3 linked regions of the Saccharomyces cerevisiae S288C genome follow. The gene in region 3 interacts genetically with the main gene of each other region. Each region holds a gene or a part of one and is shown on either strand. Other genes may lie near its edges.

Region 1 (2,860 bases), on a different chromosome or scaffold from region 3:
GGATTATAAGTGAAATGGTGGATGATACCATGGAGAGTGTTGGGGACGTAGGGGAAGAGATGGACGAAGCTGTTGATGAAGAAGTTAATAAGATAGTTGAACAATACACAAACGAGAAATTCAAGAATGTTGACCAAGTGCCAACCGTAGAATTAGCAGCCAATGAAGAAGAGCAAGAAATTCCGGATGAAAAAGTTGATGAGGAAGCAGATAGGATGGTAAATGAAATGCGTGAAAGGCTGAGAGCTTTGCAAAACTAGAGTGTTACTGTGACTGTACAAAGAAAATAAATAAATAAGTGAATAAATAATGGTACGAATAACACAGTAAAAAGGGCACCCGTTTTTAGTGTATGGAAAAAGTTGAGTGCTTTACCCTTTTTCCATGATGACCGTTGAAACATGTACGGACTATCAAGTAATAGTGAGGGTAAAGACAGTATATACACACTTCCTTTTATTTTCGTCTCATCTTGTATTTTCATTTGAAGGACGGAATATTTACTTTTCATGGCTTGTATTTTTACTCGATTCCAACTTTTTTTCAAGCTTATCAAATTCCTTTAATGCTATTTCTTGCTCAGGATCCATGATCTGAATCACTTCTTTCACTTCATCCACATAGTGCTTCAACATGGACTCAATACCGTACTTCAAAGTCACTTCACTAGAAGAGCATGAGGTACATGCACCTTGTAATCTTAAATAAACGGTTCCAGTCTTTGGATCCCACCCACGGTAATCGATATCACCGCCGTCCTCCAAGATGGCTGGTCTTATTCTTGTATCTATCAGCTCTTCAATCAATTCGCTGACCTCTTCATCTTCTTCGGTAAGTTCAAATTTGGGCATATTTATTTTGTAGCCACCTTCTCCTTCTTCTTCTTGGACAGCATGGAATTCTTTGGATATAACATCTTCACCGTAAGCAAGTTGCTTGGTTAACAAATCTATAATTTCAGGCTTGATACTATTCCAATGGACCATTCTGTCTTTATTAATAGTGAGAAAATCATCACCTATCATTAAAGACTCCACTCCTGGACACTGCAAAAAAATTTGCTGTGCTAACTTGGAATGGTTGATGAGGTTTTCATCAGTGTTCTTAATAACTATACTCTTGGAGCCACGCGTCTGTAGCATCTCGCCATCTGTGGAGAGAAATTTTAAAGCATTTTCATTTGGAGTTGTTAAAGTCTTAATATGAATTAATCTCTGAGAATTTAAGTAAAAAATCGGAGACTTCCCCAATTTAGCCACTGATTTGAACATTGTTAGTCAATTTCTTGCTTTTTTGCTTAGATTACGCTGAGAATGCCTTATGTATTCTAATTAGTCCGCTAAATACGCTTCTTTTTATAATGATTAATAAGCAATATTGTAAGTAGATCACTGAAATTCGGAAAACTTAAATTATTTATCACTTGATACGTTAGAAGGCTATTTCTACAATCACCAGGACTCCGCTAAGTGGTCCTATAGATTTGATGAAATGCCTGCTTTGACGGTCTTGATGATACAAGCTAACGCTTAGCATGTTACTATACTCAATGTACATTGTTTTATCCTCAAGAGACCGCAGACGTTTCAATTTTGTGTTTAAAAGAACAATGGACAGTATATACGTAGTGCCAATTTTCTTCTATGGTGTATTATGCGCATTGAACATTGTAATATCCGTAATGTTGAACATAATTTGGGAATTGCTTCCGAATCTTCAACCTTCATGTATACCTCTTTTCGGCTAGAGTGTGGTACTTTAATTACTGCTTAGTTGTTTTGCCCGATTTAGATATTGCACCCGTGCACGTCACACATAAGCTTGGTCTTTTAAATAGTGTGTGAAAAAACGAACTTGAAGAAAAAGATAGAGCAAGATATATATAGGAGTAGGAATAGGGAGAGTGGAAAAAAAAACTTAGCCTCAAACTAATAGTCAAGAGGATCAACTATTCTGTTCAGGTTTTGCAGGTTAAAAATTGAAATAGAATATTTTCTCGGTAATTTCAAGAAACAGCTGGTAAAAAGGCAGTAAATTTACAGAAACTAAGAGTGTAAGGGCACAATGAGAGTATATCAGTTTTGCCGACCTTTCCAATTATTCACCTGCTTCTTATGCTACCTTCTAGTGTTCGTAAAAGCTAACAAGGAAAAGATAAGTCAAAAGAATTATCAAGTATGCGCAGGTATGTATTCCAAAGAAGATTGGAAGGGCAAAATAGACCCGTTTATATCATTCAATCTTAAAAAAATAAGTGGATTGAGTGATGAGTCTGATCCAGGCTTAGTCGTTGCAATCTATGATTTCCAAGACTTTGAGCACTTAGGTGTGCAATTGCCGGATGAAGAAATGTATTATATTTGTGATGATTATGCAATTGATATCGGGATTTGTGAAGAGGAGAATCGTGATGAGTTTATTGTTCAAGATGTTGTATATGATCCATATACTTCCACAAATAGATCTTTGGCCAATCCAATCATGACGTTTTCTCAAAATGAGGTCGGCCTTCATGATACTAGATACCCAATAAAAGAAACCGGATTTTATTGTGTTACTGCGTTCAGATCATCGACGTCTACCAAGTTCAACGCTGTGGTGAATTTCAGGAATGCTTATGGTCAGCTTGCGGGCACCGAGATCAACAAATTGCCACTATATGGTCTTTTGGCGGTCGCATACGTTGTGGCGATGGCGTTATATTCCTTCGCCTTCTGGAAGCACAAGCATGAATTGTTACCATTACAAAAGTATTTGCTGGCCTTTTTTGTATTTTTAACCGCAGAAACCATATTTGTATGGGCTTACTATGATTTGAAAAATGAAAAAGGTGATACTGCGGGAATAAAAGTTTATATGG
Region 2 (3,857 bases), on a different chromosome or scaffold from region 3:
TAAACAAATTTTTTAACAAAAGATGAGGCTCTCAGTAAATGGTTTCTGCTGGAATTACTCAGCATACATGTTCCTCCATCCTTAAGTGTTTTACAAAAAAAAACGCTATGTTTGAGGTCCGATATCTCGGTCTGAGTGAAGGTAGAAGAAAAAAGTTATCTCAAGAAAAAAGAAAAAGATGAAGCCTTTTCTCAACGTGACTGGAGTAACGTAATAGAAATACTGTCAGATCCTGGCGTGAAAGAAGTAGCTCCTACGAGGTGACAAAATACAAGAAAAGTAATGGAAAAGTACACCAATTGGAGAGACAATGGTACGGGAATAGCTCCATTTCTACCAAACACAATCAGGAAACCTAGTAAGGTGATGACAGCGTGTTTGTTGGGTATCCTAGGGGTGAAAACCATTATAATGCTACCATTGATTATGCTGTACCTTCTAACTGGCCAGAACAACTTACTGGGTTTGATATTGAAGTTTACATTCAGTTGGAAAGAGGAAATTACCGTGCAAGGAATCAAGAAACGTGACGTAAGGAAATCCAAGCATTATCCACAGAAGGGCAAGCTTTATATTTGCAATTGTACCTCACCTTTAGATGCTTTTTCAGTGGTGTTATTAGCTCAAGGGCCTGTTACGTTGTTGGTCCCATCCAATGACATTGTATACAAAGTTTCCATAAGAGAATTCATCAACTTCATCCTCGCCGGTGGGTTAGATATAAAACTCTATGGCCACGAGGTAGCAGAGCTATCTCAATTGGGCAATACCGTGAATTTTATGTTTGCTGAGGGTACCTCATGTAATGGTAAAAGCGTCTTACCGTTTAGTATAACCGGGAAAAAACTTAAAGAATTCATAGACCCTTCAATAACCACAATGAACCCCGCAATGGCCAAAACTAAAAAATTTGAATTGCAGACCATCCAAATCAAAACTAATAAAACTGCCATCACCACATTGCCCATCTCCAATATGGAGTATTTATCTAGATTTCTGAACAAGGGCATTAATGTTAAATGCAAGATCAACGAGCCACAAGTACTCTCGGATAATTTAGAGGAATTACGCGTTGCATTAAACGGTGGCGACAAATATAAACTAGTCTCACGGAAGTTAGATGTTGAATCTAAGAGGAATTTTGTGAAGGAATATATCAGCGATCAACGTAAAAAGAGGAAGTAGAAATACTTATGAAGGCATGCATGCATGCATACATATTTATATATATATGTCTTTAGGAGTATGTATTGCATTTAATCGAAACAAACAAGAAAAAGAAGAGTAGATGTGCCCGTTTCTGTCACTCCTATTTACTGACACTTTCTTGACCTACCTCAAACCAGTTCCAGTTCCGGCAAAAAGTGCCGCGCGGCGGAGAAACATCTCCACCTTATCTCGGCGCCAAATCCTTATCTCTCGTAGCTGGTTTGCCCGCGATAAGGCGGGCGAGTTATTTTGAAGTTTTCCATAAACTGGTTTTCCATCTCGAGGTTTTTCCTCGCTTTCCACGCTATGACCCTTTTTAGTTAAGGTACCCGATGGCATACTTTATATATTATATATATATGTTAAGTTAATATGTTTTAGCAGATTTGATATGCTGATATGCAGCACGGACTTTCCCTCTCCTTGTCTTATCGCATCTTATCGCAACAATTTGATAGATATCTTCTCCCTTTCCTATCTTGTAGAATAAGGTTGTGTGCTTTGAGTCTGATAGCCGTCTTCTTTCGGTCGCTTCTTCTCTCTTTTGGTTCTTTGATTGTCTATTACAATCAATGCAGGCTAGTTAAGGGTCCAATCACTTTTGAAATTGTTTTGTAAAAAGCGAAGGCATTTTTTTTTTAGAAGATACAATTGAAAACATATAGATTTAGAGTTCACATGGCTCGGGGTGACGGACATCTATGGACAGAGACATATGATAGTTCCACAGTCGCTTTTATGATTTTAGGTGCCGCCCTGGTTTTCTTCATGGTACCGGGGCTGGGCTTTCTTTATTCCGGTTTAGCAAGAAGAAAATCTGCTCTGGCTTTGATTTGGGTAGTGATAATGGCTACCTTAGTAGGTATACTGCAATGGTATTTTTGGGGCTATTCTTTAGCATTCTCTAAGACTGCGACGAACAACAAATTTATCGGCAACTTGGATTCATTTGGGTTTAGAAACGTCTATGGCAAAATTTCGGATGATTCCACGTATCCTGAACTGATTTATGCCATTTTCCAAATGATGTTCATGTGTGTCGCATTGAGTATTATAGCTGGTGCCACTGCGGAAAGAGGTAAGCTTTTTCCACATATGGTTTTTCTTTTTGTTTTTGCGACTTTGGTTTACTGTCCCATCACTTATTGGATTTGGGCCCCAGGTGGTTGGGCCTACCAATGGGGGGTATTAGACTGGGCTGGCGGTGGGAATATTGAAATCCTAAGTGCTGTGGCTGGTTTCGTTTATTCTTATTTTCTAGGAAGAAGAAAAGAAAACCTCCTGATCAACTTTAGACCACATAATGTTTCCATGGTGACTTTGGGTACTTCTATACTTTGGTTTGGTTGGTTGCTTTTCAATGCTGCAAGCTCACTGTCACCAAATATGAGGTCCGTATATGCGTTCATGAACACTTGTCTCAGCGCCACCACGGGTGGAATGACGTGGTGTTTATTAGATTATCGATCTGAAAAAAAATGGTCCACTGTTGGGTTATGCTCCGGCATTATCTGTGGTTTAGTTGCTGCCACGCCTAGCTCGGGTTGTATTACTCTATATGGCTCTTTGATCCAAGGTATAATAGCGGGTGTTGTTTGTAATTTTGCAACAAAAATAAAGTATTATTTAAAAGTGGATGATTCCTTAGATCTATTAGCTGAACACGGTATCGCCGGTGTGGTGGGATTGATTTTTAACGCTCTATTTGCAGCTGATTGGGTTATTGGAATGGACGGCACAACAAAGCATAAGGGTGGTTGGTTGACGCATAACTGGAAACAAATGTATATTCAAATTGCCTATATCGGTGCCTCTGCCGGCTATTGTGCTGTGGTCACGGCCATCATTTGCTTCGTATTAGGTAAAATTCCGGGTGTCCATCTAAGAGTCACTGAGGAAGCCGAAGCATTGGGGTTGGATGAAGATCAAATAGGCGAATTCGCTTACGATTACGTGGAGGTTAGGAGAGATTATTACCAGTGGGGTGTAGATACAGATGCACTTCATACTACATGCAATGGCGCTAATTCTGCGTCTGAGACAAATCCTACTGAGGACAGCCAAAACTCCTCATTGTCATCAGCTACAGTAAGCGGCCAAAACGAAAAAAGTAATAATCCTAAATTGCATCACGCAAAAGAAGCATGAATCAACTCCCCAGTAACTGCTCGTCGGCACATTGAACGGAAGTGCCGCGATACTAGATTTTTTTTTATTTATTTATTTCTGAACTTTTTAATTTTATATTCTGCATTTTATCATAGACTCACAAAACAAATTCATTTCATCATTTGGTATTTTTACTCACCATTCTATATGCCATAATAATATTAAAAAACTTAACGTCTGTTCCCTAAAAAAAAACTAATTTAGTAAAAAATACGACCCCAGTGAGGGTTGAACTCACGATCTTGCGATTAACAGTCGCACGCCTTAACCAACTTGGCCATGGAGTCGCAAATAATGATGAATTGGGACTTTAAAACCGCTTCCACATCTGAATCATATCTCCGGTATTTATTTCTTTGCAACCAAAATATGGATATCGAGATGTATTTGATGAATAATTTGTTGGAATAGAAATCAACTATCATCTACTAACTAGTATTTACATTACTAGTATATTATCATATACGGTGTTAGAAGAT
Region 3 (5,924 bases):
GTCACAAAGTGGCGTATGGCAAATGGTAGAAATTCCCAACAGTGAAGAGATCTTTGAAGCCGATATCATTTTGTTGTCTATGGGTTTCGTGGGTCCTGAATTGATCAATGGCAACGATAACGAAGTTAAGAAGACAAGACGTGGTACGATTGCCACACTCGACGACTCCTCATACTCTATTGATGGAGGAAAGACTTTTGCATGTGGTGACTGTAGAAGAGGGCAATCTTTGATTGTCTGGGCCATCCAAGAAGGTAGAAAATGTGCTGCCTCTGTCGATAAGTTCCTAATGGACGGCACTACGTATCTACCAAGTAATGGTGGTATCGTTCAACGTGATTACAAACTATTGAAAGAATTAGCTAGTCAAGTCTAAAAAGCTTGAGTTATTATTTATTTTATGATCGTATATTATTTATTTATTTATTTATTTATTTATTTATTTATTTATTTATTTATTTATTTTATTTAGTTTATTAATTTTGCTGATGAATGTTATTTCAATTAAACATAGTTTTCAAAGAACTGAAAAACCCTGATTTCTTCTTCTTCTTCTTCTTCTTCTCTTTACCATTGTCATCTTTCAAATTAAACTTATCTTCATCATCATCGTTTAAGTTATGGTTGATAGTGTTCCTGCTTGACTTTGGAGAAATTATGTTTCCAGCGCCACCTCTTCCAATAGCAAATTTTTCCGGTGCGCTTTTGCCCTTGAGCTTATTTTTAGGCTTCTTGGACGTGGACTTGATTGCCGCCAAAGCATTGCCATTGGAAGTCACCACAAACAGGTTGTCCTCGTTTGCATTGATAGTATCCTCATCCTCGATATTGCCGCCTCGTATCTCATCCTCTTCATTTCCACCATTGCTGGCCACCTTTTTTTTGTTGAAGAAAATGTTTCCTGCCCCACCTCTACCAACGACAATTGGGGCGTTGTTGTTCGGAGACGAAGTGGTGGCATGCAAAGACTGATGGCTCCTTGTAGCGCTGATACGAGACCTGGTGTTGGTCACCGGGTTTGACCCACCTTCATCCACCATATCCGAAGTTATAGGGGAAATATAATCGTCGATGTCATTGATCACGTCGTTATAGTTGATATTGTCGTTAGAGTCCAGTTGTTGGGCGGATCTCGTCAGGTGCGGATCATGAAAGATATTACCGGCACCACCTCTACCAATTGCAAAACGAGGAACCTTTTCCTGGTTGCTACCGTTATTATTGTTGTTTGCTACTGTCTTTGAATTGGATTTCAATGGAAGAAGTACGGGAGACGGCTTGGACATAGATTTATGGATGTTGCCAGCTCCGCCTCTGCCAGTGGAGACCTTGTACTCTTGTACACGTGCCTGGTTCTCCATCTCGTTTTGTGGGTTGAACGTAGCCATACTAACTTGGTCTTACGCTACTGCTGCTGCTAACGCTGCTGCTGCTTTTGCTCATATGCTTCCATTGACCGTCATTAGTATCAGCGTCAGCCTTTTTGACATAAGCCACCGCTCTGTCAGGGTAACCCTATGAAACATTTCAAAACGTTATAAAGGAACTCGTCTGGTTACAACAAGGAAATATCACTACAAACAGCTGTCCGTACGGCTCCTCAACTCTCTCAATGTTGTTCGCCTGGTCACACACAGCATAGTTTCGTCATTCGGCGCCGACGGTCGCTGTCTCTTGGAGCCTTCAAGCTCTTGTCAACCCAGGTCCGTTGTGCCGATAAAAGTAACAGCAGACCCCCACGCCCGCATCCCACTCTCTTCTCCGACCACCTCCCTCGAAGTTCTTCCCTGCCAATCCCACGTCGATCCAGCGTAGTTGGCCCCAACTGGTGCAGTAATAACCGCTTAGCGATTTTGCACTCGGAACTACATATGTATATATATATGTGTGTGTGTGTGTGGGCTGGAAAGATTTCTTGAGCTTCCGTGTTATAGTGCAATTTAAATATTGTACATCATTCCGATCCAGCTGGAAACAAAAGCAAGAACAATGTTGTGGAAGCGTACTTGCACAAGGCTAATAAAGCCTATTGCACAACCTAGAGGAAGGCTGGTGAGAAGATCATGCTACAGATACGCCTCAACAGGCACAGGCAGCACCGACAGCAGCAGCCAGTGGTTAAAATACTCTGTCATCGCCTCTTCAGCTACTCTATTCGGTTATTTGTTCGCTAAGAACCTCTATTCTAGGGAGACTAAGGAAGATTTGATAGAGAAGCTGGAAATGGTCAAAAAGATCGACCCAGTAAATTCTACGTTAAAGCTGTCCTCATTGGACTCACCAGACTATTTGCACGACCCGGTTAAGATCGATAAGGTTGTTGAGGACCTGAAGCAGGTGCTGGGAAACAAGCCTGAAAACTACTCTGATGCGAAATCCGATTTGGACGCCCATTCAGATACCTACTTCAACACGCATCACCCCTCTCCCGAGCAAAGACCTAGGATTATATTATTCCCTCATACTACCGAAGAAGTTTCCAAAATTTTGAAAATATGTCACGATAACAACATGCCAGTTGTACCCTTCTCGGGCGGAACGTCCTTGGAGGGGCACTTCCTGCCTACAAGAATTGGAGATACCATAACCGTAGACCTGTCCAAGTTTATGAATAACGTCGTAAAATTTGACAAGCTGGACCTGGACATCACCGTGCAGGCCGGTCTACCCTGGGAGGATTTGAATGACTATTTGAGCGACCACGGTTTGATGTTTGGCTGTGACCCTGGTCCAGGTGCACAGATTGGTGGTTGCATTGCTAATTCTTGTTCAGGAACCAACGCCTACCGTTACGGTACCATGAAGGAGAATATTATAAACATGACTATAGTGTTGCCGGACGGGACCATTGTCAAGACGAAGAAAAGACCCAGAAAGTCGAGCGCTGGCTATAACTTAAATGGTTTATTTGTGGGAAGTGAAGGTACCTTAGGTATTGTTACTGAAGCTACTGTCAAGTGTCATGTCAAGCCCAAAGCTGAAACTGTTGCGGTGGTATCCTTTGATACTATCAAGGATGCGGCCGCATGTGCTTCTAATCTGACTCAGAGTGGTATTCATTTGAACGCCATGGAGTTACTGGATGAAAATATGATGAAGTTGATCAACGCATCTGAATCCACGGACAGATGTGATTGGGTAGAGAAACCAACTATGTTTTTCAAGATTGGTGGGAGATCTCCCAACATTGTCAATGCTCTTGTGGATGAAGTTAAGGCTGTCGCCCAGTTAAATCACTGCAACAGTTTTCAGTTTGCTAAAGATGATGACGAAAAATTGGAATTATGGGAAGCTAGAAAGGTCGCGCTATGGTCTGTGCTAGACGCTGATAAGAGCAAAGACAAATCAGCTAAAATTTGGACAACTGATGTAGCTGTTCCTGTGTCGCAGTTCGACAAGGTTATTCACGAAACTAAAAAGGACATGCAAGCTAGTAAGCTGATCAACGCCATTGTTGGTCATGCAGGTGATGGTAACTTCCATGCATTCATCGTCTACAGAACCCCTGAAGAACACGAAACCTGTAGCCAACTTGTTGACAGAATGGTCAAGAGAGCACTGAACGCAGAAGGCACTTGCACGGGTGAACACGGTGTTGGTATTGGTAAAAGAGAGTACTTGCTCGAAGAATTAGGTGAAGCACCCGTCGATTTGATGAGAAAGATTAAGCTAGCTATTGACCCAAAGAGAATCATGAACCCGGACAAAATCTTTAAAACTGATCCAAACGAGCCCGCTAATGATTACAGGTGAGTATCTGATTTTCCTTTTTCACCCTTCACGTAAACCTGAAATATATTTCATGTAATATATATAGTTCATCCTTAAAGAAAACATACCATTTCAAAATGCCCTTTCCCAGTAGCTAATACATGCTTAAAAATGTGATATATATTATTACCATCAAATGTATTCATGATCCGGGTAGTGCCTTTTTTTCCTTCAAACACTAATGGGATGGGAAGAAACATTTCGAAAAAAGTTATGACTATTGGCAGCATCAGAGAGAATTAAACCTTACCTGTACAACGATAGCAGCTTACATCACTTCCTCGCAGTCATGGAAAAAAATACGGCACCATTTGTCGTCGATACGGCACCCACAACTCCTCCAGATAAACTTGTAGCACCTTCTATAGAGGAAGTAAATAGTAATCCCAACGAATTAAGAGCTCTTAGAGGGCAGGGTAGATATTTTGGCGTAAGCGATGATGACAAGGATGCCATTAAAGAGGCAGCACCTAAATGTAATAATTGCTCTCAAAGAGGTCATTTGAAGAAGGATTGTCCCCATATAATATGTTCGTACTGTGGGGCGACGGATGATCATTATTCTCGACATTGTCCGAAGGCTATCCAGTGTTCAAAGTGTGATGAGGTGGGTCATTACAGGTCACAATGTCCACATAAATGGAAAAAAGTTCAGTGCACTCTTTGTAAGAGTAAGAAACACTCAAAAGAAAGATGTCCTAGTATATGGAGAGCATATATTTTAGTAGATGATAATGAAAAGGCTAAGCCCAAGGTCCTTCCCTTTCATACTATATACTGTTATAACTGCGGTGGAAAGGGGCACTTTGGTGATGATTGCAAGGAAAAACGATCATCTAGAGTACCTAACGAGGATGGAAGTGCGTTCACTGGTTCTAATTTGTCAGTTGAGCTAAAACAGGAATATTACCGTCACATGAACAGAAATTCGGACGAAAATGAAGACTATCAATTTAGTGAGTCCATATACGATGAGGATCCACTACCGAGACCTTCCCATAAAAGACATTCCCAAAACGATCACTCTCATAGTGGCAGAAATAAACGTAGAGCATCGAACTTCCATCCTCCTCCTTATCAAAAGTCTAATGTCATTCAACCAACTATAAGGGGCGAGACGCTGTCACTCAATAATAATATTAGTAAAAATTCACGGTATCAAAATACAAAAGTAAACGTCTCGTCGATATCGGAGAATATGTATGGCTCCAGATATAACCCTTCTACTTATGTTGATAATAACAGCATTTCCAACTCTTCCAATTACAGAAACTACAATTCTTATCAACCATATAGGAGTGGTACCTTGGGGAAAAGAAGATAACTTTAAATAGGAAGCCCTTTAACAAGCTGTTCTTGGTTACATTATATTTTCTTAATGAAAGATTAAAGACAATACCTAATTCGACCATTAATCAAAATAGCATGTAAATTTCTTACATCTTCTTGTTGTGAAAAAAAAAGGCCTTCGTGCAATCACAGGTAATAATAATAACATATACATACATATACGTAAATACGTCTTATAACTCCTGCTACCTCATACGCTATTTTCTATTATGGCTAACATCTATGCAACTCAATTTAGTCTCTTTTTACCTTTTTCACAATGAATGTATAAAGGTCCTTTTCATCGTAATCTAACCTTCTTTTTTGTGCATTTAAACCGTCATAATCGATTAGAGCAAGTTTGTCGACAAACCGATCTTTTCTATTTAGCTTTAGTGAATCGCACAGTTTTATTCTTCCTAACCTGCAGTTTTTGAAAAATTCGCCTTTAAGAACAGTTATCTCTCCTGCCATTGATGTTACCACCAAGTGAAACGTAAGGGCGCAAACATTGTCTGTGCCTACGTCTATATCATTAATTATAACAATTGTATCATTAATCAATCCGAAATCATGGGGTATTATCCGAATAGTATCCTTGGAATTCCTTAACAAATTTTTGGTATTTTTTATTTCAAATCTATTTATCAACAAAACTCCATGTGTGTCCAATATAAAGCATAAAGAATCATCCAGCATAAATAATTTCTTGAATGAACATAAATTTCCCAATGCCTGCTTGAATTGAGCTGTCTCATCATCTATCACTTGGCCATCCACCTTCATTTGACTTTCTGCCCACTCTTCTTCATTAGTTCCATTTT

The links.
Region 1: mutations in PAR32 (region 3) and NFU1 together harm fitness more than expected from each alone (negative genetic interaction), as found in Saccharomyces cerevisiae (2 studies listed by BioGRID).
Region 2: of PAR32 (region 3) and MEP3, changing one suppresses a phenotype caused by changing the other (phenotypic suppression), as found in Saccharomyces cerevisiae (one study listed by BioGRID).

The regions. Positions count from the first base shown.
Region 1 is NC_001143.9:360,558-363,417, forward strand, and holds NFU1 (Nfu1p), read right to left. Parts: upstream 1,272-2,860; coding exon 501-1,271; downstream 1-500. Other genes in the region: ESCRT-III subunit protein VPS24, read left to right, coding at 1-260; PTM1 (Ptm1p), read left to right, coding at 2,065-2,860. UniProt on the Saccharomyces cerevisiae protein: Involved in iron homeostasis within the mitochondrion where it is involved in the assembly of iron-sulfur proteins.
Region 2 is NC_001148.4:810,484-814,340, reverse strand, and holds MEP3 (ammonium permease MEP3), read left to right. Parts: upstream 1-1,887; coding exon 1,888-3,357; downstream 3,358-3,857. Other genes in the region: lysophosphatidic acid acyltransferase LOA1, read left to right, coding at 283-1,185. UniProt on the Saccharomyces cerevisiae protein: Transporter for ammonium (both charged and uncharged NH3 and NH4) to use as a nitrogen source. The affinity of MEP2 is about twenty times higher than that of MEP1. MEP3 has the lowest affinity.
Region 3 is NC_001136.10:143,655-149,578, reverse strand, and holds PAR32 (Par32p), read right to left. Parts: upstream 1,389-5,924; coding exon 501-1,388; downstream 1-500. Other genes in the region: GLT1 (glutamate synthase (NADH)), read left to right, coding at 1-376; DLD1 (D-lactate dehydrogenase), read left to right, coding at 1,990-3,753; AIR2 (TRAMP complex RNA-binding subunit), read left to right, coding at 4,061-5,095; GID12 (Gid12p), read right to left, coding at 5,356-5,924. UniProt on the Saccharomyces cerevisiae protein: Involved in resistance to cisplatin.